4 linked regions of the Saccharomyces cerevisiae S288C genome follow. Changing the gene in region 1 together with any one later gene gives a genetic interaction. Each region holds a gene or a part of one and is shown in the gene's direction. Other genes may lie near its edges.

The links.
Region 2: mutations in STE24 (region 1) and ERG25 together harm fitness more than expected from each alone (negative genetic interaction), as found in Saccharomyces cerevisiae (5 studies listed by BioGRID).
Region 3: mutations in STE24 (region 1) and IRE1 together harm fitness more than expected from each alone (negative genetic interaction), as found in Saccharomyces cerevisiae (5 studies listed by BioGRID, with this or other methods).
Region 4: mutations in STE24 (region 1) and LAS21 together harm fitness more than expected from each alone (negative genetic interaction), as found in Saccharomyces cerevisiae (5 studies listed by BioGRID).

What each region holds. Positions count from the first base shown.
Region 1 is NC_001142.9:640,361-646,818, forward strand, and holds STE24 (zinc metalloprotease), read left to right. Parts: upstream 1-1,646; coding exon 1,647-3,008; downstream 3,009-6,458. Other genes in the region: YJR115W (uncharacterized protein), read left to right, coding at 1-91; TDA4 (Tda4p), read left to right, coding at 465-1,304; ILM1 (Ilm1p), read right to left, coding at 3,130-3,741; JHD2 (histone demethylase), read right to left, coding at 3,944-6,130. UniProt on the Saccharomyces cerevisiae protein: Proteolytically removes the C-terminal three residues of farnesylated A-factor mating pheromone. Also acts to cleave the N-terminal extension of the pheromone. Does not act on Ras.
Region 2 is NC_001139.9:606,868-613,500, forward strand, and holds ERG25 (methylsterol monooxygenase), read left to right. Parts: upstream 1-3,696; coding exon 3,697-4,626; downstream 4,627-6,633. Other genes in the region: PEF1 (Pef1p), read left to right, coding at 1-276; septin SPR3, read left to right, coding at 696-2,234; ADE6 (phosphoribosylformylglycinamidine synthase), read right to left, coding at 5,022-6,633.
Region 3 is NC_001140.6:256,013-265,380, reverse strand, and holds IRE1 (bifunctional endoribonuclease/protein kinase IRE1), read left to right. Parts: upstream 1-3,789; coding exon 3,790-7,137; downstream 7,138-9,368. Other genes in the region: LAM4 (Lam4p), read left to right, coding at 1-2,580; SAE3 (Sae3p), read left to right, coding at 2,828-2,940, 3,027-3,189; YHR078W (uncharacterized protein), read right to left, coding at 7,363-9,021. UniProt on the Saccharomyces cerevisiae protein: Senses unfolded proteins in the lumen of the endoplasmic reticulum via its N-terminal domain which leads to enzyme auto-activation.
Region 4 is NC_001142.9:315,319-323,906, forward strand, and holds LAS21 (mannose-ethanolamine phosphotransferase LAS21), read left to right. Parts: upstream 1-1,965; coding exon 1,966-4,458; downstream 4,459-8,588. Other genes in the region: DLS1 (Dls1p), read right to left, coding at 1-239; mitochondrial 54S ribosomal protein bL17m MRPL8, read right to left, coding at 441-1,157; COA3 (Coa3p), read left to right, coding at 1,405-1,662; linker nucleoporin NUP82, read left to right, coding at 4,698-6,839; BNA3 (kynurenine--oxoglutarate transaminase), read left to right, coding at 8,068-8,588. UniProt on the Saccharomyces cerevisiae protein: Ethanolamine phosphate transferase involved in glycosylphosphatidylinositol-anchor biosynthesis. Transfers ethanolamine phosphate to the GPI second mannose.

The sequences.
Region 1 (6,458 bases):
TTCTTCTACTGCAGAAGCTCATTCCGCTTCCCCAGCATCCAGCGACTCTTCTCCTCTCACTAATAACATCCGGCCCATTAGCATTATGTGATTAGCATGCATTTTCCCCTTTTCCTTTCTTAAGAACATTTTTACGACGCGGATCTGCCCGTCATCGCATACGAATGTTGAATCACGCCAGAATCACCAAAGAAAAAAACTCGTTCAGTTCCTAGGTTTTATGAGCCAGGAACAATAGACTTTTATCGCATATTATTTCTATACGTGCACTTATATATGCACACATATGTTTATATACATATACATACATACGTGTTTCTTTTCAGCCTGTGTTTTTGTCGGGTCCAAAAACATACAAGGCAACATAATATTTTGACATAACTCAACGCAACATAACAGTATAAAACATAGTTTAATAAAAGAGAAAAAAAAAACAATATTTTTAAGCTATCGCTCTTGCCGCAATGAACGCCAACTCTACCACGACAGCAATCGGCCTCACCAGCCCCTTCGAAAAGCTGTCCTTCTTCCCTCATTCGTCTAATTTAATACTGGCTCATTTGCATGAGATCATCTTCAGCTTCGTCTTCTACCAGCTCGCATTCTCCGTTGTCGCACCGTTCTTGAATAAAGTGGTCTTTCGCAAGCACTACACCACGATCCGTGACCCACTGCTGAAAATTGATTTCAATGTCCACACCGTCTCGATGATCCAGGCTGTCGTCTCGAACACCGTCCTGTTGCCCACCCTCACGACGCCAATGCATTATAATGTTGTCACCTACACAGATTCGTACAGTTCAATGGTATCTTCCCTCAGCGCAGGGTACTTTATCTGGGACTTGACTATGTGCGTGCGTTACTTCAAGCTTTATGGTCTCGAGTTCACGGGCCACGCCATTGGCTCCGTATATGTGATGCTGTTGTCCTTAAGACCGTTCTGCCAACCCTGGATCGGCAGGTTCCTTATCTACGAGGCCTCCACTCCCTTTGTGAACATCAATTGGTTCATCATGCAATGTAACGCCAAGAGCAAGAACTCTATCCCTCTGTGGTTTAATGTCGTCAATGGCCTTTTGCTCATGACTGTGTTTTTCGTCGTCAGGATTTGCTGGGGCTCCATCGCATCCGCTCTCTTATTCAGGCAGATGTGGAAGGTAAGAGACGAGTTACCCAAGTTTTCTGCTGTCACGATGATGTCGCTGAACATTTTCATGAACCTTTTGAACGTGCTTTGGTTCAAGAAGATGATTAGAATCGCCAAGAAACTTGCAAAACCAGCCCCAACGTCGAAGCTAGACTAAACCTACCTTTTTTTCTATCTTCAACAACGAAACGCCTTACACACACACACACATACATCTACATACATACATACAAATATACATATATGTAAACTTGTATATTCATTCCTATTAACCAAAAAGAGGCAATTAAACTTTTCCCTCTTTTTCTACGTCATTTACTCAAAAACTCTAATTCCTTCGTCTCTGTTCTGCCATTTTCTCCAGAAAAAAATCGACGGGAAATAAAAAAAAAAAGACAACGAACAAGAGAAAAAGTTCGCGAATTATAAACCACTTCTATAATTAACAGGAAAAGGAAGGAAAAAAAAGGAGGAAATAGAAAACTGCAGGCCTTTATTCATGTTTGATCTTAAGACGATTCTCGACCATCCTAATATCCCGTGGAAATTAATCATTTCTGGGTTCTCGATTGCCCAATTTTCTTTCGAATCTTACTTGACGTACAGACAGTACCAGAAGCTATCTGAAACAAAGTTGCCACCTGTGCTGGAAGACGAAATTGATGATGAAACTTTTCATAAATCAAGGAACTACTCCCGGGCCAAGGCCAAGTTCTCCATTTTCGGTGACGTCTATAACCTAGCCCAAAAGCTAGTTTTCATCAAATACGACCTCTTCCCTAAAATCTGGCACATGGCCGTTTCTTTATTGAATGCAGTCCTGCCAGTCAGATTTCATATGGTCTCCACTGTCGCACAGAGTTTATGCTTCTTGGGTCTCTTATCCAGTTTGTCTACCTTGGTTGATTTGCCACTCTCTTACTATAGCCATTTTGTCCTGGAAGAAAAATTTGGTTTCAATAAATTGACCGTCCAACTATGGATCACCGATATGATCAAGAGTCTGACTTTGGCGTATGCTATTGGTGGCCCAATCCTTTACCTGTTCCTTAAGATCTTTGATAAATTCCCTACTGATTTCCTTTGGTACATTATGGTCTTCTTGTTCGTTGTCCAAATCTTAGCCATGACAATCATTCCAGTCTTCATCATGCCCATGTTTAATAAGTTCACTCCATTGGAGGACGGTGAACTGAAAAAATCTATTGAAAGTTTGGCCGATAGAGTTGGGTTCCCTCTAGATAAGATTTTTGTCATTGACGGCTCAAAAAGATCTTCTCATTCAAACGCATATTTCACAGGTTTGCCATTCACCTCCAAGAGAATTGTTTTGTTCGACACTTTAGTGAACAGTAATTCTACTGATGAAATTACGGCTGTTTTGGCCCATGAAATCGGTCACTGGCAAAAAAACCACATCGTTAATATGGTCATCTTTAGTCAATTGCACACCTTCCTCATTTTCTCCCTTTTCACCAGCATCTACAGAAATACATCATTTTACAACACCTTCGGCTTTTTCTTAGAGAAGTCCACTGGCAGTTTTGTTGATCCCGTTATCACTAAGGAATTCCCCATTATCATTGGATTTATGTTATTTAACGACTTATTAACTCCACTCGAATGTGCCATGCAATTCGTGATGAGTTTAATTTCCAGAACTCATGAATATCAAGCTGATGCTTATGCTAAAAAATTGGGCTACAAGCAAAATCTATGTAGGGCTCTAATTGATCTACAAATCAAAAACCTTTCCACCATGAATGTAGATCCTCTGTATTCTAGCTATCATTATTCCCATCCAACTCTAGCTGAAAGATTGACCGCTCTAGACTATGTTAGTGAAAAGAAGAAAAACTAATCTATAGAGTACACATATTAGCATGTACCGTTAAATTCAGCTTCGTTATGTCTATATCTACATACATACACAGGTATCTACTATAAGAATAAAGGAAAGAAAAAATAAACGATTAAACATTTTATTTTTTTGCATCGCTATCATCATTACCTTTCTCATTGTTATCATCATTATCTTTCCCATCTTCATCGTCATTTTCTTCATCATTGATTATTTCAATGATTTCTGTGGTTTCAGTCTTCACGGTAAATGGTTGGGGTTCTTCAATATCCTCATCATTAACCATGAATTGGTTCAATCTTTTGAACTCTTCATTTTTCTCCTCCCTAATGGCATTATACAAAAGAAAATTTATCCAAACTTCTGCAAAACAGTAAATAAAAACAGAGTTATTGTGAACGTAAAAGTTTGACTCCCAAAGGTACGAGATACTTGTCAAAATAAAAAAAATTAGTAATCTAACTGGCACAACAGATTGGAAGTATTTAACATTGTTTTCTAACAGGGGAATTAGATCATGAACACCGTTAAGAGTAAACAGAAGAGCGAAAAGACCCAATTGACCACTATAACGTGACAGTGTTAACTGCGGTAAATTCATCGCTTGCGTTAAGACTATGAAATATGTATTTTGCAAAATAGAATTAACGTTCTTTAAACAAAAGAAGGCGATCGTGAATAAAAATGCTACTCTGAAAAAAGCAATATTGGTGGAGTTCAAGGCTTGAGCCATTTTCTTAGAATTTATTCTTTACTTTTGCTGAATGCGATACTCTATTATGTTGTAAATTGTTACACTACCATTCAATTGTCTCTCTTTAAAGATTGATCGACATTATTTTCTTTACTTTTTTGGTGTTTTCGCGCTAAAAGTGGCGTGCTAAATGCCAAGTATTATTCTAAAAAATCATTACGCCATACACAAATATTGAAGACTATCTATCTAACTTAACACCAACTTGCTTTATTAAAGAGTCAATATCCTTCAAAGACTTAGTGAAATACAATTCATCGTCAATATAAGGTTCTTCACCGTCGCTATTGTTCAAGTTTTGTATTGATTTTAAGTAATCCTGCGTACACAGGATACTCACTTTACTGTCCGTCGTGGATAGTTCATTCCACTGCCTAATACTTAAATGGTTTTTCTTGTGTCTTTTATACGTTCTAATTGAATCATAGTTATTCTTTCGCAATACAAAGGCTATTGAACATATAGTCTTACATTGGGAACAAAATATATCGTATTCCTCATCTTCATCGTTTGGATCAGTATGCACCTCCAAAAGAGTTGTCCGTGGTACAATGGCCTGAATTTTCCGTATGCGTTTTAATTCAGTATTATAAAAGACGATCAATGAAGAGTAACATTGCCTAACAAAAGCATCATTGAACAATAGAGTATCTTTATTGTACTTGTCCAAAACATTGATCATTAAATCAAACATATCAAAAACACATGCTTTCTGAGTTAATTTATAATCCGTAATCGCACCAAATCCATATGGTAGCCAGAAATCTATAGTAAAATTGACAGCTTCATTAAAATTATAACCTGTATTAAAACCAGCATGGTAACATTTAGGAAACGTGATAATATATTCGTTGGGCTTTTGCACAGCTTTGTACACAGGAATACCTGATTTCTTGAAATTTGGATCGTACGGAGATATTAAAGTCACTAGCTGATGCAGTAGGTCTGGTTGTTTGATAAATAAGTCTGGTGACATATCATTTAATAGATCGTTGAATTTCGTACATCCCGATTCGGGAATGCTGTACCAGACCTTAGGGTCACCTTCATGTTGATAGTTAGCACTTAGGGTATACTGATCTTCCATATGCCAACAAAATGTGGAAAATAAGGAGCCTATGTAAATCCAAGGAATAGTCATGCCAGAAATATTTCTTTTAAATAACGGTAATAGCGAATTATGAGCCATAGGCAAGTTAGTTAAATTCATAGGATGATCGCAATATTTGAGGTAGTCTATCAATTCGTCCCCATTTATATTTTTGGGTATAAATTCTCTCGTCGGAAAGCCGGTAATTTGACCTGGCAATTCGTTATGTATGTCAGCACCGTATTTAACTGTCGTTAATGAACTGCGACGATTCTTGGTCACTAAGCTCCAAAACATCTCTTCCAACTCATCTATAGACAGTTTTCGTGCTGGTAATAACCTTGAATTTTGACGTTTACAATATTCTTGAAACTCTGGTAGAGAATAGTCATGCGTGTCCTGAGTGAATCCGTAATATCCGTTTCCGACGATACAAGTGTTACAAATCCAATCGCCAGAGGGAACACGTTCCAAAGGTGGTGATAAACAATATATATGGAATGGTTTGTCACATGAATCACATAAAATTGTTCTTTTTGGATCATTTGTCTTGCGACAAACAATACAAGCATCATCATCGTCCTCCTCAAAATCCGACCCAGAATTCGAATCTGGCCCAAGATCGAAATCGTCCTCGTCATCACTTAATAAGGATTTTGGATACTGGTCAGCATGCAGCGCCGTGTGCACGTTCTCGTTCAGTGAATGAAGAAATATGTAGTATGAGGCAATATATTTCTCAAAAATTTCCTTTAACAAGCCGATTGGTACGTTGAATTTTTTAGAAATGGTCCTCCATAGACTGATGTCGCCTCTTAATTGGGAAATATCTCTAAATTTCAATTTTCGCCTGAATGACTGTGTAGTGTCAGTAAGTGTCCGATTGTCTTTTATTAGTTCAGAGAAAACGTCATAAAAGTACACTTTTTTTTTTAGTATTTCCGATGCATGAGTAGAATCTGAATATTCTACAATCGTATAAGGTTCCCTAAGTATAAGTTTCGATGGATCCTTAACGGATCTTTTAAAATTATTTAACTGTTTCATAAAAAATAGCCTACACCTATTTTTCAGGTCTAGGTTCTCCAGATTTTGAATTCTTGGTTGAAAAGTAAAATTTTCCATATCAATAGAAAGTGGCGGGCAGAACCCGTTTGGTGGTACGACCTTGACCATACCATATCGTACACCAAGCCTTTTAATGTGGGGGTTAGAGAGATAATCGATCGGATTTTTGAATTCTTGTTCCGTTGGATACAGGGCAGGAATTTCCTCCATGATAGTGATACGTTTTTTGTGCAAGATGAGATTAGTTAATATGATCTAGAGGTAAAATTGACTAAGTAGTCAGATCTTATTCTACATTGAGCCTGCGTTGTCAACATGCACATCTCTGTCTCTTGGGATGATAATTTTTCAATGATGATTCCAGGGTTACTTTAACGTTACACAAAAGAAATTAATTAGTGCGGCTGTTTCTGTGAGCGGGGCAGTAAGTCCGAAGCCCTTGATATTAGCCCATACCCTACACATTTTACTCGTTTGCCCTACATCAGATAAAATACTGGCCCTAAGCCCTCCTAATCTCTTCTGGTTACACCTAGGG
Region 2 (6,633 bases), on another chromosome or scaffold:
TCTGTAAGCGAATTTCATAACTCACTTCAAGAACTAGGATATCTAATACCTTTTGAAGTTAGCGAGAAAACATTTGACCAATATGCTGAGTTTATAAACAGAAATGGAACAGGAAAAGAACTAAAGTTTGATAAATTCGTTGAGGCGTTAGTTTGGCTAATGAGATTAACAAAATTATTCAGGAAATTCGATACTAATCAAGAAGGCATTGCAACCATACAGTACAAAGATTTTATCGATGCTACATTATATTTAGGTCGTTTCCTACCTCATTGATGAAAACCATTCGTTCTTTCTGGTCGTAATACAAATAGAAGAGGTAAACCAATCAATGGCCCGTTAGTTTGCCATTTGCTGCATCCTTCCCATGCAAAGTGTCTTCGTATTTAGTGATGTTTTGTTAGCGACACAAAAGAGACCTCGATGACAGACATTTTTTTTTCTTTACTTAATGTATTATAAGTGTGTCTGACCTCGACTATCATTATAATATTAATTTGAAGTTCTATTTTACATTTATATGAGTTATTCCATTACATAATAAGGATATCAAGAGCAGATTAGTGTCTTTTAGATTATACATCTTTTTCCCCCCTTTTTTGTTGTTGGTAGTGGAAAGAAAAGGATCAATTAACAGAAATAAATAAATAAATAATAAAAACCTAAAATTCCTTTTGCGTCATTGAATTTTTATTATGAAGTCAAAAGGGAGTCGGTTGTCAACAGACTGTCCTGTCGAATTTCCCAAGATAGTCTCTGGATTCGCTGAGGAAGTGAAAATACGTAGACAAAGTTCCCAAGGACAGTACGCCGTCGATTCACATCCTCCGAAAAGCCCTGAACTGAAACACAGAAGACAGAGGTCATCCTCTTTTGTTAACGGTAAATGCAGGAACAGGGACCTTCCATTGTTAGATAACAAGAAAGCACAAGAAATAAACACCAATTCACACGGCCAAGACATCGGTATCAAAAACTTACCACGTCAACGTGAGTTGTTGAATGCCAAAAATGGAATTGATTTTACGCTGATGGTGGCGGGTCAAAGTGGATTGGGTAAAACCACGTTTATCAATTCCTTATTTTCTACTTCTTTAATTGATGATGACATCAAAGAAAACAAACCTATTATTCGTTATAAAAGCATTGTAGAAGGAGATGGAACACACCTTAATTTCAACGTCATCGATACACCTGGTTTTGGTAACAATATGGATAATGCATTTACGTGGAGGACAATGGTTAACTATATTGATGAAGAAATAAGATCGTACATTTTCCAAGAAGAACAACCTGATAGGACAAAAATGGTTGATAATAGAGTCCATTGTTGTTTGTACTTTCTGAGACCTTCAAATAAGGGAATTGATACTTTAGACGTCGTAACAATGAAAAAATTAGCGAAGAGAGTGAATTTAATCCCGGTTATTGCTAAATCAGATTTGCTAACGAAAGAGGAATTGAAAAACTTCAAAACACAAGTTAGAGAAATAATAAGAGTACAAGATATCCCTGTATGTTTCTTTTTCGGCGATGAAGTTTTGAATGCAACACAAGATATTTTTCAAAAATATCCATTCAGTATAATTGCATCTAATGAGTACATTTTTAATGAAAAGGGCGAAAAAGTTAAAGGAAGACAATACAAATGGGGCGCTGTTGACATTGAAAATGAAAAGTACTGTGACTTCAAAATCTTGCAAAAGACGATTTTTGATTGGAATTTAATTGATCTTGTAGAAAGTACCGAGGATTATTATGAAAAATGCAGATCTGAAATGCTAAGAACTAGGCTATTAAAGGCCAGAGATTGCTTAACAACGAAAAGTGTTGACATAACGGAAGAACAAAGGAAATTTTTGGAGGAAGAAATGAACTTCGATGAAATCGAGGAAAACAAACTCAAAAATTACAAGTGCTATGAAATAATTAATAAAACGGTCATGGATAAGGTGGCTACAGAATGGGATCCTGAATTTATAACTAGACAATTAGAAGCTAAGAAAAAATTCAACGAGCTGTCCAACAGAGAAATTTCAAAATTTCGAGACTGGAAAAAGAGCCTATTCATGGAACAAGAGAATTTTAACCAAGAGATTGAACAATTGAATCACAAGTTGGAAAACTTACAACTGGAATGTCAGGACTTGGAATACAAGCTGTTAATCGGAAAAAGTTCCAACAGCCATTCCACAGATAGTGCTACTTTAGTAAACGTTCACATCAAAAGGTAGTATTAATTAAAAAAAAAAAAAAGCCAATAATTTCGCGCAAGCTTTGCTCTACATAATAAAAATACAATTAGGATAGAAATGAATATTTTTTTAGCGGCAGTTTTACCATAAGTAGCAAAACCCTAACAATACAATGTGAGACTAAAGTAAATCCGGGTAATACAAAATACAATTTTTTTTTATTCTTCACAGCGTTTTTTCGACGGAGGAGGGAAAAAAAAAAATTGTATTTAAGGCATCAAATGCGCGACATCATATACCTTTGTCCGCTGTTATCATACCTTGAACCTCTACATTTCAGCCTAGCGCGCGCAAAAAGAAAAAAAAATCATAAGCAAGAGTGGTACGGTAACCACAAGGCAATGCAAAGAAGGGTGCGATATCAAGTGATGTTACCTTCCTTTACTTTTTGCCTTTTTCTTGAATTGTCAATCCGCCCTTTTTTTCTTTTCAGTTTTTTCTCCTTTCATCCGTCTCGTTTATCATAATGATGATTTCACTTATACCTATATGTTTTTTCTGGCATCTCTAATGTTAGGATGTGAAGTTTAAGTACTCTCCATTCAATGAATACAATTTTTGACAATATCTGATTTTACTATGATTAAACAGACCGAGGGAGAAAAAAAAAAGGAACTAAAAAAGGGCCTACGTAGAAGATGATGTAAAAGTAGATTCGCATCTGAGAATGTTTTCTTCAAATTTTTCTTTTCGGCCTTGGCGCAGAAGACTTTCTCTTCGTCCGCGTCGTATAGGAAACAAAAAAGTGTAAAAAGTAAAAATCGGTATATTACGCAATCCATTCGTTACCCGGTGTAGTCACGTGCGGGTGCGGAGGGCAGCCGTTTAAACCCGTTTGGGCCTTGGTCCGATAGAACCATCTCGCAGGAAAGAGCAGAGCCAGTTATCGGGTGTCGTTTACGCCCAGATGTCGTTTAGCCAGCTCCGCAACGGCCACTGCCACTACCACTGCCTCCCTTCGTATACGGGACACAGAGATCGTATACGGTAAACGACTAGCACTAGGACAATAGCAACTAACAATGACCGATAACAGTCAGCAACCTCAAGGCACCTGGCACAAAACCGTCGAGGAAGAGGCCCTTTGCCACCGTATCGCATCGCTTTCCCACCAATTTTTTTTTTCTTGCTTGCCTCGCCTCTGCTGTGGTCGTATTATTATTATTCATTCTCTGCGCAGTTTAAACTATATACACACGATTAATCCGTTATGCATGTACATTTTCTTGTATGCGTACGCCTGTGTATGCATACTTCTATATAATATATAATACAGGAGGATCTATTCTTTTTTTTCTTCTTCTCTTCTTCTCTCCCTTTTTTCTCTCTCTTCGTTTCTTTCCTTCCAGTAAATCTTTATATTAGTTGTAACTTTTTCTCTTTAGATAGTAGCATAGAGGACTAAGGAAAAGTAGTACAGCCATAAAAAAAAGAGGAAAAGATGTCTGCCGTTTTCAACAACGCTACCCTTTCAGGTCTAGTCCAAGCAAGCACCTACTCACAAACTTTGCAAAATGTCGCCCATTACCAACCTCAATTGAATTTCATGGAGAAATACTGGGCCGCATGGTACAGTTACATGAACAATGATGTTTTGGCCACCGGTCTAATGTTCTTTTTATTGCATGAATTTATGTATTTCTTTAGATGTTTGCCATGGTTCATCATCGACCAAATTCCATACTTTAGAAGATGGAAGTTACAACCAACTAAGATTCCAAGTGCTAAGGAACAACTATACTGTTTGAAATCCGTTCTTCTATCTCATTTCTTGGTCGAGGCCATCCCTATCTGGACCTTCCACCCAATGTGTGAAAAATTAGGTATTACTGTCGAAGTTCCATTCCCATCTTTGAAAACAATGGCTCTAGAAATTGGTCTATTCTTCGTCTTGGAAGATACATGGCATTACTGGGCTCACCGTCTATTCCACTACGGTGTCTTCTACAAGTACATTCACAAGCAACATCACAGATACGCTGCTCCATTCGGTCTTTCTGCTGAATATGCTCATCCTGCTGAAACTTTGTCTTTGGGTTTTGGTACCGTTGGTATGCCAATTCTTTACGTCATGTACACTGGTAAATTACACTTGTTCACTCTATGTGTATGGATCACCCTAAGATTATTCCAAGCTGTTGACTCTCATTCTGGTTATGACTTCCCATGGTCTTTGAACAAGATCATGCCATTCTGGGCTGGCGCTGAACACCACGATTTGCATCATCACTACTTTATTGGTAACTACGCTTCCTCTTTCAGATGGTGGGATTACTGTCTAGACACTGAATCTGGTCCAGAAGCTAAGGCCTCCAGAGAAGAAAGAATGAAGAAGAGAGCTGAAAACAATGCTCAAAAGAAGACTAACTAAGAGAAGAAACATACTTCAAAAAAAAAAAAAAGAAAAACAACAAAAAAACGTATAAAATGAAATAAATTTCGAACCGCTTTTTTTCCTTTTTTTTTTTTTTACTTTGTTTGACCTCCCCTAACTCTTTCTTTTTACCTTCACAATTGTTTATTTTAATATATGATTTTTAAATTAATTCAGGTTAATTCTAAAAACTATATTGCAATCTTTTAAATATATGTATACACGTTCATTACCACGTATACATATCCATATATATATATATATATATACATACTATTTATGATAAATTTTTAACAAGCAAACCCATTATTAAATGCTATAAATAAAAGACAGCTTCTTTCTAATTATTATTCAAACTTAAAAACTACATATACAAAAACTACAAAAATCTTTCAACCGACCCATCTTCTGGCAGATCTGAATAATCTAATCCATGGACCGTATCCACCCCACTCTTCGTATTTGCCCTCTGGATACCAGGAATTGGCCTCCAATCTGCAAACTCTTTCAGGATGTGGCATCATGGCAAGCACTCTACCATTTGGTGACTTGATACCGGCAATACCATTGGTCGACCCATTGGGGTTGAAGGGGAACCTTTCGGTGACGTTACCGTAGTTGTCCACATACCTTATACAACATAAACCATCCTTTTCGAACTTTTCCAGTTGTTCAGCGCTTTTAGAAAATGTTGCTTTACCTTCACCATGTGCGACAGCAATTGGCAATTTGGATCCTGCCATGCCATTCAAGAAAACAGATTCCTCGCTAGAATTGTCCTTTTCTTGAGATATTTGCACCATACATACACGGGCTTCATATTGTTCACTAACATTTCTTTCGAAACTTGGCCAGTTTTCACACCCGGGTATGATATCTTTTAATCTACTCAAGAATTGACAACCATTACAAGCACCAAAAGCAAATGTATCTTGTCTTTCATTGAAGAACTTAGAAAATTGCGAGCGCACACCTTCGTGATACAATACGGATTTAGCCCAACCCGCACCTGCACCTAAGACATCACCATAAGAGAAACCACCACATGCGGCAAGACCGATGAAGTCATCCAAATGGAACCTACCTTCTAGCAAATCTGTCATAGTGACATCCACTGAGTTGAATCCAGCTTGTTGGAAGCACCATGCCATTTCCATTTGACCGTTCACACCTTGCTCTCTTAAGATAGCAACCTTTGGCCTTTGACTGGATAATTCTAATCCGATCTTCATATCATCGGCTGGGTTGTATGTTAGGGCATACTGCAAACCGGGATCTCTATCGTCCGTGATACTGGCAAACTCTTCTTCGGCTGTTTTTGGATTGTCTCTCAATTTCTGCATTTCGTAAGATGTCTTACTCCAAGTTTGCTCCAATTCAGATCTCGAATTGGCGTAAATTACATCATTTGTTGTGGAGTTAATAATCTTGATTTCCTGGCTTTGGAAGGATGGCTTACCAACAATAGAAATATATTCTTTAGCAACTCCGTTCTCGTTCAAGATTTTTTCGAACTTGCTCAAGTTCTTAGCAGAAATCTGGAATACTGCACCTAATTCTTCATTGAATAGGTTTGTTAATTGACTTTCTAGGTCTCCACCGTCAATGTTGATTTCTAAGCCGCATCTGGAAGCAAATGCCATTTCCAGTAAAGTGATTAGTAGACCACCATCAGACCTATCATGGTAGGCAAGCACTATATCCTCCTTTTGTTGATGCAATTGGATTAAACTTTCCAAGAAACCCTTCAAAATGGCGTTATCATACACAGTAGGCGACTTGTTACCAACTTGGTTGTAAACTTGCAACAAAGCAGAGGCACCTAGTGACTTAGTCTCTTGTTTAGCTGATAGATCAACCAAGACAAGGACAGAATCATCTGTGTTTCTATTTAGCAATGGAGTCCACGTTTTACTAGTGTTGAAAACTGGTGCAAATGCTGTGATATTCAATGACAATGGTGCAGTAACTTCCTTATCATCCCATTTCATCTTCATGGACATG
Region 3 (9,368 bases), on another chromosome or scaffold:
ATTGCATCGACCATCATACCGAGACCTAGTATGTCCAACGGTCGTCCATCTTCGGGATTGAGGAGAAGTTCTAGTAAAAGCTTTTCATCTACCCCCGTAAATATCATTGAGCCATCGGAGGAAAATGGTAGACAATCCAGCATTAGAATAAAGGGAGTCGAATACGCGAGCGAAAAGAAAGATGCAGAATTCCATGCAATATTCAAGGACTCTGGTGTCAGCCCCAATGAAAGGTTGATTTTAGACCATAGTTGTGCTTTGTCAAGAGATATCCTTTTGCAAGGCAGAATGTATATTTCTGATCAACATATTGGATTTTATTCGAACATCCTTGGTTGGGTAAGTACCGTTTTTATACCGTTCAAGACAATCGTTCAAATAGAGAAAAGGGCCACAGCAGGAATATTCCCTAATGGGATCGTTATAGACACTTTACACACAAAATACACGTTTGCCTCTTTCACTTCAAGAGATGCTACATATGATTTAATTACTGAAGTATGGAATCAAATAATTTTGGGAAAGAGGTTTCGTAGCAACAGTAATAACACTAATAGCAGCTCCAATTCTATCAGTGATGATGAAAATGACGATTACGATGATGATTACGATGATTATGGAGATGATGATGACGATCTTTACGATAATAGCAATAACATATCTGATTCTACCGACATGACATCAAGCGTCAGCATAGGAAAGCCGGAAGATTTACCCATGCCTCTACAAACAGACACCCCTTATGGAACAGGAATTCCACCACTAGGTCCAAAAATTCACTCACCCACAGAAACAGTATACAAACCAGCGCCCAATGAAAAATTAGTTAACGAATCAACAATACACGCTTCGTTAGGGCGGGTTGTCAATATATTATTCGGGAAAGATGTCAGTTATATTATGGCCATTTTAAAAGCGCAAAAGAATAGTGATATTTCGCCAATCCCTGTTCTCGTTGATTCACCCACGGTTTCTGAAGGTAAAAAGAGAGATTATTCCTACGTAAAAACAACACCAGGTGCCATTGGACCCGGTAAAACTAAATGCATGATAACTGAAACCATTCAACACTTTAACTTAGAGGAGTATGTTCAAGTCTTGCAAACAACAAAAACTCCGGATGTTCCTTCTGGAAATTCATTTTATGTGAGAACAGTTTATCTTTTATCATGGGCAAACAACAATGAAACAAAACTAAAACTGTATGTCTCTGTTGAATGGACAGGTAAAAGCTTGATCAAAAGTCCTATTGAAAAGGGTACATTTGATGGTGTAACGGATGCAACAAAGATATTGGTGGAGGAGCTTGGTAATATTTTAACAAGATCTGCTACCAAAAGGAAAAGGTCTTCGAAGGAGAACACTGTTACAGTATCAACTTTACCGAAAATGGAACCTAGCTCACATGCACCTACCGAGCCTGATATTCAAAAGGATAAGGATGACTCTATTATAAGGGAAAATGAGAATATACCAGCTCCATTAGGGACCGTGGTCCAATTGCTATTTGGATCGAATACAGAGTATATGCAGAAAGTTATCACTAGAGATAAGAATAATGTCAATGTGGAAACGATACCAAAATTCACGCCTTCGTTGGTTGAAGGAGGTTCAAGACACTATGAGTACACGAAGAAATTGAACAATTCTATCGGACCTAAGCAAACAAAATGTTTACTAACCGAGTCTATTGAACACATGGATATCAATAACTATGTTTTGGTGACACAAACAACTAAAACTCCAGACGTCCCCTCTGGTAGCAATTTTGCAGTAGAAAGTAAAATCTTTCTATTCTGGGGGCAGCATGACACCACGAATATGACCGTTATAACAAAAATCAACTGGACAAGTAAATCATTTTTGAAAGGTGCAATTGAGAAAGGATCTGTTGAGGGTCAGAAGGTTTCTGTCGATTACATGCTATCCGAGTTAAGAGACATTATTAGCAGGGCAAAAAGCAAAAAACCGGTGAAGAAAGTAATGAAGAGTCATGATAAACATAGGCCTTTCCATAGTAAGGTTGAACAGAAAAGTTCCGAAAGCCGTAAGAGCGATGATAATAAAGACATTTTAACTCATATTTTGGATTTCGTTCAGAATAATTTTAGTTCAGAAATTTTTATGAACAAATTGCTGAGTCCTCAAAAACTATTCTTGATCTTGGGGTTGACCATTATGCTTTTCTGGTCTCCTCGGCTTCACGTGTTTCAAGAAAAAAATAATCTTCAAATCATCAAGCCAGGAAGGCTGCTGATTGATGGTCAAGAATATAATTACGTGCCCAGTTTCGGCACACTGTATAACTCATATGAAAACGCCATATCATCTAAGAAGAAGAGAGAAAATGTAAATTACGCAAGGGATAAGAGTCCTATTGTAGGAAGGGAAAGCGATATTTGGGATTGGATCAGTAACAGAGGGAGTGCAATATCACCTCGAGGTCGTGCTATGTTGAGAAACGATGACGAACACAAATTGCAGCAATTATCAGAAAGTATCAAAATAACAGAAATGCAACTAAATCATATGAAAACTATGTTGGACAACATTGAGAGGGACGCAAATGATCTATCTTAATAGCATTTTATATATTCTGTTTGTATTATTTAGTAATTGTATCTAGTACATATCCTGTAGCGGTTGGCCTGATTCCTTTTAAGTTAGATGACAGGCACACTTTGCATTATCACATCAGACGGAATTGTTCTGCCTAATGGCGGCTATTCTATTTCTGCTTCATAAATGCAAAGACAGAGTATAAGAATAATTTTAAATTAAAAGCAATGGTCTTATCCTTGCCATAAACAGAAGACAACTTGCAAGTATGAACTATTTGGAAACACAGTTAAATAAAAAGCAAAAACAGATACAGGAATACGAAAGTATGAATGGCAACCTGATAAAGATGTTTGAGCAATTGTCTAAAGAAAAGAAAAAGTATGTAGCTATTTTTTCCAGTCGGCAAAAATCGGTATAACAAACAAAAAATATTTAGTTTCTGTTATTAACAGAACTTGTCAAAGTGATGAGACACCAAAAAAAATTTCCTCGACGTACATTAAAGAGTTAAAGGAGTACAACGAATTGAGAGATGCCGGTTTAAGGTTGGCCCAAATAATTGCTGATGAAAAGCAATGCAAAATTAAGGATGTTTTTGAAGAGATCGGTTATTCAATGAAGGACTAATGGGCTTTTAGGGACAGTTCTATTCTTCCAACGTGCGAAGCGTTCCAATGAAACTCTGCTGCGCGCTGAAAACTATATAAAAAAAAAAAAAGATAAAATTACAAAGAAGTAATGAACTTAAATGCTATTATACAGTTACTAATTAAGCTGCGTAGTGTGAAATATATTGATAGTTGTAGTTTTGAGGTTTTATTACCCTCTGTTATATAATAGGTTTTCGCTATTTTATTGCCGAAAATCAAGACGGAGCGTAAGCCTCTTCGGGCAATACCTTCGACTATTCCAACAATAAAATTTAAAAAAAGAGATTAATCACATAGTAACAAGAAATAAACGAAAAACATATCATAGGAGATCAATGAGCCAACTTCACATAAACTAACAGTGAAAAGTCTATAACAATATTAATTTTACACAATTAAATCTACACTATAACTGGCACTGTTAATAATCGGTAATCTGCTAAGTAACTTTTTTTTCTCATTCACAAAGCATCGTTTTCCTCTTCCCCACGTCCATTATCACTTTTCTCCATATCACCCTTCATACACATTAAAAAAACAGCATATCTGAGGAATTAATATTTTAGCACTTTGAAAAATGCGTCTACTTCGAAGAAACATGTTAGTATTGACACTGCTCGTTTGTGTGTTTTCATCCATCATTTCATGCTCAATCCCATTGTCGTCTCGCACCTCAAGGCGGCAGATAGTGGAAGATGAAGTTGCCTCCACTAAAAAGCTCAATTTCAACTATGGTGTGGATAAAAATATAAACTCGCCCATTCCTGCTCCAAGAACCACTGAAGGTTTACCAAATATGAAACTCAGCTCATATCCAACTCCTAACTTATTGAATACTGCTGATAATCGACGTGCTAACAAAAAAGGACGTAGGGCTGCCAATTCTATAAGTGTACCCTATTTGGAGAATCGTTCCTTGAACGAACTGAGTTTATCAGATATACTAATCGCAGCCGACGTTGAGGGTGGACTTCATGCTGTAGATAGAAGAAATGGTCATATCATATGGTCAATCGAACCAGAAAATTTTCAACCTCTGATAGAAATACAAGAACCTTCGAGGTTAGAAACATATGAAACGTTGATTATAGAACCTTTCGGTGATGGGAACATTTACTACTTTAACGCCCATCAAGGGTTACAAAAACTGCCTTTATCCATACGACAACTTGTATCAACTTCCCCGCTGCACTTGAAAACAAATATTGTGGTTAATGACTCTGGAAAAATTGTTGAAGATGAAAAGGTCTACACTGGATCGATGAGAACTATAATGTATACTATAAACATGTTGAATGGTGAAATTATATCAGCGTTCGGACCTGGTTCAAAAAACGGGTATTTCGGGAGCCAGAGTGTGGATTGCTCACCTGAGGAGAAGATAAAACTTCAGGAATGTGAAAATATGATTGTAATAGGCAAAACTATTTTTGAGCTGGGAATTCACTCTTATGATGGAGCAAGCTACAATGTCACTTACTCTACATGGCAGCAAAATGTTTTAGATGTTCCCCTAGCGCTTCAGAATACATTTTCAAAGGACGGCATGTGCATAGCGCCTTTCCGTGATAAATCATTGCTAGCAAGCGATTTAGATTTTAGAATTGCTAGATGGGTTTCTCCGACATTCCCCGGAATTATTGTTGGGCTTTTCGATGTGTTTAATGATCTCCGCACCAATGAAAATATACTGGTACCGCATCCCTTTAATCCTGGTGATCATGAAAGTATATCGAGTAACAAAGTTTACTTGGATCAGACTTCGAACCTCTCCTGGTTTGCATTATCTAGTCAGAATTTTCCATCTTTAGTCGAATCAGCTCCCATATCAAGATACGCTTCCAGTGACCGTTGGAGGGTGTCTTCAATTTTTGAAGATGAGACTTTATTCAAGAACGCAATCATGGGTGTTCATCAGATATATAATAATGAATATGATCACCTTTATGAAAACTATGAAAAAACGAATAGTTTGGACACTACGCACAAATATCCACCTCTGATGATTGATTCGTCCGTTGATACAACCGATTTACATCAGAATAACGAGATGAATTCACTAAAGGAATACATGTCACCAGAAGACCTTGAGGCATATAGAAAAAAGATACACGAGCAAATATCGAGAGAATTAGATGAAAAGAACCAAAATTCTTTGCTACTGAAGTTTGGAAGTCTAGTATATCGAATTATAGAGACTGGAGTATTTCTGTTGTTATTTCTCATTTTTTGTGCAATACTACAAAGATTCAAAATTTTGCCGCCACTATATGTATTATTATCCAAAATTGGATTTATGCCTGAAAAGGAAATCCCCATAGTTGAGTCGAAATCGCTAAATTGTCCCTCTTCATCGGAAAATGTAACCAAGCCATTCGATATGAAATCAGGGAAGCAAGTTGTTTTTGAAGGTGCTGTGAACGATGGAAGTCTAAAATCTGAAAAAGATAACGATGATGCTGATGAAGATGATGAAAAATCACTAGATTTAACCACAGAAAAGAAGAAGAGGAAAAGAGGTTCGAGAGGAGGCAAAAAGGGCCGAAAATCACGCATTGCAAATATACCAAACTTTGAGCAATCTTTAAAAAATTTGGTAGTATCCGAAAAAATTTTAGGTTACGGTTCATCAGGAACAGTAGTTTTTCAGGGAAGTTTTCAAGGAAGACCTGTTGCGGTAAAGAGAATGTTAATTGATTTTTGTGACATAGCTTTAATGGAAATAAAACTTTTGACTGAAAGCGATGATCACCCTAACGTCATACGATACTACTGTTCAGAAACAACAGACAGATTTTTGTATATTGCTTTAGAGCTCTGCAATTTGAACCTTCAAGATTTGGTGGAGTCTAAGAATGTATCAGATGAAAACCTGAAATTACAGAAAGAGTATAATCCAATTTCGTTATTGAGACAAATAGCGTCCGGGGTAGCACATTTACATTCTTTAAAGATTATCCATCGAGATTTAAAGCCTCAAAATATTCTCGTTTCTACTTCGAGTAGGTTTACTGCCGATCAGCAAACAGGAGCAGAAAATCTTCGAATTTTGATATCAGACTTTGGTCTTTGCAAAAAACTAGACTCTGGTCAGTCTTCATTTAGAACAAATTTGAATAACCCTTCTGGCACAAGTGGTTGGAGGGCCCCAGAGCTGCTTGAAGAATCAAACAATTTGCAGTGCCAAGTCGAAACGGAACACTCTTCTAGTAGGCATACAGTAGTTTCATCTGATTCTTTTTATGATCCGTTCACCAAGAGGAGGCTAACAAGATCTATTGATATTTTTTCTATGGGATGTGTATTCTATTATATCCTATCCAAAGGGAAGCATCCATTTGGAGATAAATATTCACGTGAAAGCAATATCATAAGAGGAATATTCAGTCTTGATGAAATGAAATGTCTACATGATAGATCCTTAATTGCAGAAGCTACAGATCTGATCTCCCAAATGATTGATCACGATCCGTTAAAAAGACCTACTGCTATGAAAGTTCTAAGGCATCCGTTGTTTTGGCCAAAGTCGAAAAAATTGGAGTTCCTTTTAAAAGTTAGTGATAGGCTTGAAATTGAAAACAGAGACCCTCCAAGTGCCCTGTTAATGAAATTTGACGCCGGTTCTGACTTTGTAATACCCAGTGGAGATTGGACTGTCAAGTTTGATAAAACATTCATGGACAACCTTGAAAGGTACAGAAAATACCATTCATCAAAGTTAATGGATCTATTAAGAGCACTTAGGAATAAATATCATCATTTTATGGATTTACCTGAAGATATAGCAGAACTAATGGGGCCGGTACCCGATGGATTTTACGATTACTTCACCAAGCGTTTTCCAAACCTATTAATAGGTGTTTATATGATTGTCAAGGAAAATTTAAGTGACGATCAAATTTTACGTGAATTTTTGTATTCATAACATGTTCATGCCCCTCTGCTTCTTCTTGGTTGATTATTGCATTAATGTTACTTTGATCATTAGTAGTAACCATCCATAATTTTTACGCCCTTGCATAAATGAAAAAAAGTTGTACTTCTTCATGAACCTATACTACTTTTCTCATCCCTACATAAACTACCCGACAGACATTTAATTTTATAAATACATATCTCATAAACATCGAACATCGACATACTACTCCAGTTATTCAACACTGACTTTTTTGGTGGAAAGCTTTCGTTCTGCAATTCTTATGCAAATAAAGGTAAACACACATGCAAAAGCGTAGACTTCATCAAACCAAGAATCTATGACAATGTTTGGGACGGTAAACTTTCCACCCAATAGCTCCTTTAATCTTTGTGATACTTCAAAAGGGAGATGGGACCTAACCATTAGCGTTGTAGCCAAAACGTAGACGCCAGTCAACTCTGACACCACCAGATTTTTTATCAAAGATATTCCTTTTTGTTCCTGAGAATAGTTTCTCTTTTTTCCCTTATAGGAAGAGTTATTGGTGTACTCTGGAAGTACATTAGCAGTGTCATCATTCTGCATGGCGAAAAGTGCAAGAATCTGGAACTTTATGGGCAAAAGGGTCACAACGTAGGAGATGGTGGTATTGACAGCAGAAAGACAGCAAAGAAAGAGAGAAATTGACAAAAATAACGATATCTGTTTTGTTAACGAATCGAGATCGTGCTGGTAATTGAACCTGAAAAACGAAAAATCCAAAATATTTGCTATCGTAATGGCTAAAGGATCGGATGCTGCATTTTCACTAAAATTTTCATAATCGTAGTCATCTGGATATTTGAGCGAGTGGTATATGATATAGGGGATTCTTTTCAGGAAAGTTATTATTAGTTTATGAAGACAGTATATGATAAACCCGACTTCAAAAGCTTTCTTAAAAGTGCGTACCTGAGGGGACTGTTGTAATAATGCTTCCAATTTCCCAAGCTCCAGTTGATACCAGGCGATTTTTTCCATCAACTCTGCTTTAAAAGTTGAGTTTTCTCCGACCTCTTCTTCTAAACTTCTTAATATTTGTACATTTTGTTCAATGTTGTGTTCATAATCTTGGATTTTTTCCTCTATATAGGCGTCTGTTGTCCATAAGAGAGATTTACTGTTATTGTTGCTGTTGTTGATGTTTCTAAAACTGGGGTCTGACATTGGTGTATTACGAAACTTGTGCCAGATGACTAAAAAGTTGTAGTATAAACTAGAAACAGTGGCTAACCCAGATAGGGAAGCCATGACTGTGACGCCTCCGATGGACAATCTAGTTAGAATATTTTTTGTGTACTGGAACGGTCCAATATTTATGTAACTTAACAGCGCAATAAGTGTGGACAAGATTATGCATGTCACTATTATCAACCTATCGATATCGAACTTGTCATTGTAGAATTTATTCAGTAACGATATTATAATGAAAAAGGGCTGAAATAAAATTAGTATGAAGGATAGCATGATTGCAGTCAGAGGCCACACCCAAGTCGTTATGAAAGTAACTTCCTTGTCCATTCCAGCAACCTTAATCTGCCATAGAATAATCTCTATGGTTACTGTATACGTCATCATTGCTAATGAAAAAAGGACTCGCAGTGATTGCAGTACCTTATGTGAGGGTAAAGAATACTCTGTGTAGAATTTATTTATGAAATTACCCATACTAGACACATCCTCATTCGAGCCAACTTCCATTTTGCTTGCCAACGGAATGACATTTTTCTTCGAGGAAGTTGATATAATGTCAAACAAAGACCCTACTTTAAACCAGAGCCTTTCATAGGAGCATTTGTAAGCAAATGCTCCGGATACGGAAAGCACTATAAATACGATAAGTGCCTCCATCCCGTCCACCACTTAGTCTACACTCAATAGTCCTTTCTAGTGCAGGTCCTGGAGGCAACCGCCAGAGTTGAGATCTTTTCCTTTTCTTTCCCTGCTGGTCAATTTTTATTGTTCAGGACTCGGTCATCGCAGATATCGCAATTTTTCACTCGTTTGAGTCTAGACTGTAAAATAAAACCGAATGGTTAAGCTAAAATAGACTCTGTATGACTAAGTCGTTCACTAAAGTTCATTATTTCATGCCTGAATGACCTTTATCTTAATTATGCACCATCATATAGCGTTTCTATGATCACTACGGGATATTATGATATTGTTAGGGGGTTATATTGAATATTTCTTAGGGC
Region 4 (8,588 bases), 330 kb from region 1:
AGTTCATCTGGGAGCGGCGGTACCTGTTGTTGTTGCTGCTGCTGTTGCCTATGTAGGGACTCATGTGTCAGCACCTGGACGAAGAATTCTGTAGCAAACGCTGTGGCTACGAATGCGTCATCCGAAGTGTCCATATATTCTGGATCATTCTTGGCTATTCTCTGCACTTTTTCTACAGGTAACTTGGGCGAACACAGAGGTGCAGACGCCGTTTCTTTACCACTAGTCTCGTTGTTCATTGTGTTAGCCTGATCACATCGAGCGAGCTATCCTGACGCTATTCTCTCTTGTTTCTTCTGTTTTGTTTCTCTTACATTTTTCATTTTTTTCTCTAGTTGGAAAAAAAAAAAAACACTATATTAGAATACGCACATTGTTAGCGCTGTTCTTTCAATTGTCATCTATATATTTACAAGGGAATACACAAAATCCTGGTTTTTTTAAGGTCTGGGAACCATGACATAGGAGGAGGGTTTCTTCGTCTTCTTTGGCAATGACGAAGAGTAGACCTCCTTCAAAAGTGCCTGCGTCCTTTCGTTTTCGAGTGCCTCATCATAGGGAAGGGACATTTCCTTGAGTAAGACCTGCTTGATGAGCATAATTTCACCATGTAGCTGCGCTTCTGCTTTAAACTTGGCCACTTTGTGAAGATTCTGCAATGTGAGTGGGTTATGAGGTAGCTGGTTGGCGTCATCGTTGATGACTGACTTGACTAACAGCCACATCTTTAAATTGCCCCTGTTCACCGTATGCGATTCGGACATCACGGGAGAGTCGACTAGTTCCAAGACGGATTGCGGCGCTGAGTCGTTAGCCCTAGGCTCTAACCGCAGCACACGCGTGTACCCACCGGGCCTTTCCAAGTACCGCGGTGCGATCTCGCTGAACAACCGCTTCATCAACTTTCTGTTGTCTCCTGCTAAAAACAATTGGCTCTGAATTTGGGACTTTAATTCCGCCTGTGCAACACTATTACTTGTCGTTATTGCCCTCTTTGTCCAGGTAATGATCCGCTCTGCGACCCTGGAAGCCTCTTTACATTTGGCATGCGTTGACACTATAGATTCATGCTGAAACAACTGGCACGCAAGGTTTTTTAGCAGCGCATCCCTATGCGCCTTGTCCCTAGAGAGTTTCCTAGCAATACCCACTGTCATTGTTGCGCTCGACTGTGCTTCTCACCGTTTTTTCTCCTTGGCGTAGCCAAATCTCTTGACCGTTATAAGCTGTTTTAGCTTGTCAAATCCCACTTGTTCTTGTTAACCAACTTTTCCCGCCTCGTACGCGGTGACAGACAAAGCAGTGATTTTTGCTCATTGTATAAAGGGAGTCTTTACTATGGTGGCATAAGCAACAATACTACGTGAGCAGCAACGAAAGCACATATATAGACGACAAAGTAGTATGGTTTTGAATCCGTCCAAGTACCAAGACACCCGCACGTGGAAGATGACGCCTGCCATGATCAGGGCCCGTAAACCCTTTTTCAAAGGCAATATGCTCGGTCTCACGCTGCTGCTGGGTGTCACGGGCTCTGTTTACTACTACACATATCATTTTCTGCACAAGGACAACGACTTTGCAGACGTGCCCATTCCACCCATCGATCCGCAGGAGCTCGAGGCTCTCAAAAAGGAGTACGAAGCCAAGAAGAAGGCATGAAAAGACCGTTAATGTGGAGGTACGCTGTGGTCTTCCATCAATAGGCTTTGCGCTGTTCTTCTCTCCTCTTTTGTAAATAGTTTACCTACTTGCGTATATGTATATATATATATATATAGATATGCTTATACGGATATATACATACATTCTGTTTGTTTATACTCTTTGTCCTACTCTAACAGCCAGCTCTTTAGTTTAAGAATATGATGAAAAACTCAGTTTGGGAAAAAAAAGGAAAATGTTAAAGTATAAACAATATCGAAATAAGTTCATCTACCACGCACACTTCACCAAGTTAGCAAGATGAACTTGAAGCAGTTCACGTGCCTATCATGCGCTCAATTACTCGCTATTCTGCTCTTTATCTTTGCTTTTTTCCCTAGAAAAATCGTGCTGACAGGTATATCAAAGCAAGATCCGGATCAAGACCGTGATCTCCAGCGCGATAGGCCCTTCCAGAAATTGGTGTTTGTGATCATTGATGCTCTCAGATCAGACTTTCTTTTTGATTCGCAGATTTCCCACTTCAACAACGTGCACCAATGGCTCAATACGGGCGAAGCATGGGGTTACACGTCATTTGCTAATCCGCCTACCGTGACGCTGCCTAGACTCAAAAGTATTACTACGGGATCTACACCTAGCTTCATTGACTTGCTGCTGAATGTAGCCCAGGACATAGATTCCAACGATCTTTCGGAGCACGATTCCTGGCTGCAGCAGTTCATCCAACATAATAACACGATTCGTTTCATGGGCGATGACACCTGGCTGAAACTGTTCCCACAGCAATGGTTTGACTTCGCTGACCCGACACACTCGTTCTTTGTCAGTGATTTCACTCAAGTCGATAATAATGTGACGAGGAACTTGCCCGGGAAATTATTTCAGGAATGGGCCCAGTGGGACGTGGCTATCCTGCATTACTTGGGTCTTGACCATATCGGGCATAAAGATGGCCCGCATTCAAAGTTTATGGCTGCTAAACATCAAGAAATGGACAGCATTCTGAAGTCAATATATGATGAAGTGTTGGAACATGAAGATGACGATGATACACTGATTTGTGTTCTTGGCGACCATGGAATGAACGAACTGGGCAACCATGGTGGCTCTTCAGCCGGCGAAACATCAGCAGGATTGTTGTTTTTGTCACCTAAGCTGGCGCAATTTGCTAGGCCAGAATCGCAAGTAAACTACACATTGCCCATCAACGCTAGTCCGGACTGGAATTTCCAGTATTTAGAGACTGTTCAACAAATTGATATCGTCCCCACCATAGCAGCACTGTTTGGTATGCCAATCCCCATGAACAGTGTTGGGATAATAATACCTGACTTTTTACAACTGTTGCCCAATAAGTTGGCAAGTATGAAAGAAAATTTTATGCATTTGTGGAAATTATCAGACCATCACGGCGAGGTTGCTCTTGACGATTTCACTGCCGAAGATATTTATACAAAGATGTACACTATTCAAGAAACGTTAACCAAGTCTGCAACAAATTATAATTATCCTCTTTTGACACTGGCTTTTGTTGGTTTCCTCATAATAACAATCATCGCCATTTATGTATTATTACGTTATTCTGGGCCTGATTTTTGGCAGTTGCGCGTTTCTTCCCTGTCTGTTCTGTTAGTTTCCATTATACTAGGCGTTTCCACATTTGCAAGTAGTTTCATTGAAGAGGAGCACCAACTGTGGTGGTGGATAGTAACTGCATTCTCGGCGGTCCCTCTGTTCGTATACCGATTGAATGTGCTCATAATCGTGCGCTGGTTTATAATGATGGCATGCGTACGCTCAATCAAGTTTTGGAATAACAGTGGCCAGAAATTCATTTATTCTAACGTTATGTCCAATCTACTTAATCAGAATCCTTCCTGGAAGTGGTGCTTAAATATGTTGACATTTCTAGTGCTGATAATGGCATCTGCTGGTTTTCAAGTACTACATTTTATTGTCACTACTATTTTGGTGGGGTTGTGTTTCACGTACAAAATCTCGTGGGAAATCGTCAATGGTAACCAGGCAGAAATACCGCTCTTTATGCATGATTTACTGGCTAAGATAGACTTTGCACCAACTGAAAGTAACTTGATTGTACTTGCGCGCGTTTTCTTCCAAGCTTGGGCTATTGTTGTCATTTCAAGGTTGGTCCTGACGAAATTGAAAGTACTTAACAAGAACTACCTCATTAAAGATATGAAAGTTTATATAACAATTCTTTTGATGTTCCAAACTTCTTCTCAGAACATAGGTCAATTTCTCGTTTTCCAAATATTAGAGTCCCAAATTTTTTACTTTTTCCAAAATATTCCAACCGCCTCATTAACATCAACAAGTAAGATTTATTTTTCGAATTTGGTGTCCTTAATTTTACAAAATTTTACATTTTTCCAATTCGGTGGCACAAATTCCATTTCTACTATAGACCTTGGAAACGCATACCATGGTGTTTCCTCAGACTACAACATCTACGTAGTGGGGATATTAATGTCCGTTGCCAATTTCGCGCCGGCAATATACTGGTCCATGCTACCGTGGTCAATAAACTACGCCTCTATTCCAGCACAAGTTAAGTTGCAAACGTTCATCAGAAGTAAGTTACCTGCCTTCACCTATCATTGTATATTTGGAACTTGTTTGATGACGGCATGCGTCGTTTTGAGATTTCATCTCTTTATTTGGTCCGTTTTCAGTCCAAAATTATGTTATTTTCTTGGGTGGAATTTTGTGATGGGATTGCTGAATGGCTGGTTACCTGAATTGGCCCTCCTTTGCGCTCTTGATTAACATAGAATTGTTCACGTGGTCTAAATATGTATACATATATGATAGTTTATAGATTCATACTGAGACAAGTGAAAAAAAAAAAATCTACTATCGACCTTCTCTCTTTTCGCGGCAGCAAAAATGAAAAATTAACTTCAATAAAAAAGTTGAATACTTTCAAATATTCTAATTGCATTTAATATTTAAGCAACAAAAGGACAGCGATAATTGAGTGGTGGCTTAATTCTATACTCCAAAGTATGTCCCAATCTAGTAGGTTAAGTGCACTTCCTATTTTCCAAGCATCGCTTTCGGCAAGCCAATCTCCACGTTACATTTTTAGTTCTCAGAATGGCACAAGGATTGTTTTCATTCAAGATAACATAATAAGGTGGTACAATGTACTCACTGATTCACTTTACCACAGTTTGAACTTTAGTCGTCATCTCGTCTTGGATGATACCTTCCATGTAATATCTAGTACGTCTGGTGACCTACTCTGTCTTTTCAATGACAACGAGATTTTTGTAATGGAAGTTCCTTGGGGCTATTCCAACGTTGAAGACGTTTCCATTCAAGATGCATTCCAAATTTTCCACTATTCAATTGATGAAGAAGAAGTTGGTCCGAAATCGTCCATTAAGAAAGTTTTGTTTCATCCAAAGAGTTATCGTGATTCTTGTATAGTGGTTTTGAAAGAGGATGACACTATCACGATGTTTGACATCCTTAATTCGCAAGAAAAGCCTATCGTTTTGAACAAACCGAACAACTCCTTTGGTTTAGATGCACGTGTTAACGACATCACAGATTTAGAATTCAGTAAGGACGGATTGACGTTATATTGTCTAAACACCACAGAAGGCGGTGATATCTTTGCATTTTATCCATTTTTACCGTCAGTATTACTGTTAAATGAGAAAGATCTCAACTTGATCCTAAACAAATCTTTAGTAATGTACGAGTCCCTGGATTCTACAACAGATGTTATAGTTAAAAGGAATGTTATTAAGCAGTTACAGTTTGTGTCAAAACTGCATGAAAATTGGAATTCAAGATTTGGCAAAGTCGACATACAAAAGGAATATCGTTTAGCCAAGGTTCAAGGACCATTCACGATAAACCCCTTTCCCGGCGAGCTGTATGACTATACTGCTACAAATATTGCAACCATACTAATTGATAATGGGCAAAATGAAATTGTTTGTGTCAGTTTTGATGATGGGTCTTTAATCTTACTCTTCAAAGATTTGGAAATGTCAATGTCGTGGGATGTTGACAATTACGTGTATAATAATTCTTTGGTTCTAATTGAACGAGTCAAACTACAAAGAGAAATTAAGTCTCTAATAACGTTACCTGAACAGTTGGGAAAACTTTATGTCATTTCCGATAATATTATACAACAAGTAAATTTTATGAGCTGGGCTTCTACATTGAGTAAATGTATCAACGAATCGGATTTGAATCCACTTGCAGGATTGAAATTTGAAAGTAAACTTGAGGATATTGCCACCATAGAAAGAATTCCAAACCTAGCGTATATCAACTGGAATGACCAATCTAATTTAGCCTTGATGTCGAATAAAACATTGACTTTTCAAAATATTTCAAGCGATATGAAACCGCAAAGCACCGCAGCTGAAACAAGTATCAGTACAGAAAAAAGTGACACGGTAGGAGATGGTTTTAAAATGAGTTTCACACAGCCCATAAATGAGATTCTTATTTTGAACGATAATTTTCAAAAAGCCTGTATTAGTCCATGTGAACGAATTATCCCATCAGCAGACCGCCAGATACCTTTAAAAAACGAAGCTAGTGAAAATCAGTTGGAAATTTTCACGGATATTTCCAAAGAATTTTTGCAAAGAATTGTTAAAGCTCAAACTTTGGGTGTTTCTATCCACAATAGAATTCATGAGCAACAGTTCGAATTGACGCGCCAACTACAATCGACATGCAAAATAATTTCAAAGGATGATGATTTAAGGAGAAAATTCGAAGCACAAAATAAGAAATGGGATGCACAACTAAGCAGACAGTCAGAATTAATGGAGAGATTTAGTAAATTGAGCAAGAAGCTATCTCAAATCGCCGAATCCAATAAATTTAAAGAAAAGAAAATAAGCCATGGTGAGATGAAATGGTTCAAAGAGATACGAAACCAAATATTGCAATTCAACAGCTTTGTTCACTCTCAAAAATCCCTTCAACAAGATTTATCGTACTTGAAGAGTGAACTAACTCGTATCGAGGCAGAAACTATCAAAGTCGATAAAAAGAGCCAAAACGAATGGGATGAGCTACGCAAAATGCTTGAAATAGATTCAAAGATAATTAAAGAATGCAATGAAGAATTGTTACAAGTTTCTCAGGAATTTACTACTAAAACTCAATGAGTAAGCGACTTGCATAGTCTGCTATCATATATGTACGCTAAGAAACAACTGGGCAATGGTATAATATCATGTAGCAAGAGGACATTATATATGAATTGGTCAATATATAAAGCCTTCTGTGCACCAAATCGTTAGGATGATTTTTCAGTATGCTGTATCATTGTATCGTATATTCATTCGTATCTCTTTTACCTCACTAACCGCTGCCAAAATTTACATGTATACAAAATAAAAGTCTTTTTTATGACCTTATTTGGTGAGTAATGCTACTTTTGTAAAGAGTGATGGAAACTATTATTCCAAAGGGTTAGAAGAAGGTGAGGAATACGTTCATATCACCGCTACAGATCGTGTCTCTCGGTTATGAGTAATCAAACCCTCTGCAAGCAACACAGTTACTTTTTTTCGGTTTTTTCTTTTCGTGTGAATTTTTATCCAGTGAGTTTCCTTGTTCACTTTCGAGAATGGAAGGCTGATTTCGAATTTTTATATTCAACAACTGTATTTGTATTAGGCTTTGCAATAGTAGATGAAAAGTGCAGAAGACGAATCTGCTACCCTCACAATACAAAGAAAAACAAAATCGTCATTTTAATATAGGAAGACACCGCTCAGGTAATTCAATATTGAATCTGGTTGCACTTTTCTTACGATGTAAATACCCACAAACTTCTTGTACGGTGAGCGTCTGACAACGAAATCAATTTACGGAGCAAGGATTTTGACAGTAGAGCAGATTGTTTTGAGTAGGATTTAGGAATCAAGACCTCCATCTTTGTCGCATTATTCCTAAATGTAACGTAACTCGTTTGATAAGAGAATGTCTAATCGAAGAGAGTTAATAACTTAATAAGCTCTTTAAAAGAACGATGGCATTTATCGTCTCCTATGCCAAGATAATTACTGGCTCAAAATTGTTCAGCGTTCATAAAACTTTGATATCACTTTCTGGCGCACAAGCTAACCTTTATGTAGTTCTTACGTAGATTCTTTTTAGCAAGTGCCTGGTAGTGGTTATTACATAAATGTATCTTTTCATTTGATAACAATTTCTTCAGTAGCATGTCGTGTCTAGCACGTGACGTAGAACTGTGGCTTTTTTGTTGTCATTATGACAATCAAGATACCAAAATTCAGTCATGTTTAAAAGGGGAAGGTACGATAGAGATATATATAAAGTGTTCAATTTACTATAATTGCGTATAGAATCCATTGTTACTTGCTCTCAATGAAACAACGATTCATTCGTCAATTTACGAACCTAATGTCTACTTCGAGACCGAAAGTTGTTGCCAACAAATATTTCACTTCTAACACTGCCAAAGATGTTTGGTCGCTAACCAATGAAGCCGCTGCAAAAGCTGCCAATAACTCCAAAAACCAAGGCCGTGAACTTATTAATTTAGGCCAAGGCTTTTTTTCATATTCCCCTCCTCAATTCGCCATTAAGGAGGCTCAGAAAGCCCTAGACATTCCAATGGTCAATCAATATTCTCCAACTAGAGGTCGACCTTCATTAATTAATTCCTTGATTAAGTTGTATTCTCCTATTTATAACACAGAATTGAAAGCGGAAAATGTTACCGTAACAACAGGTGCCAATGAAGGTATACTTTCTTGCTTGATGGGGCTTTTGAACGCTGGCGACGAGGTTATTGTTTTTGAACCTTTCTTTGACCAATATATTCCAAATATCGAACTTTGCGGTGGTAAAGTTGTTTACGTCCCCATAAATCCTCCAAAGGAATT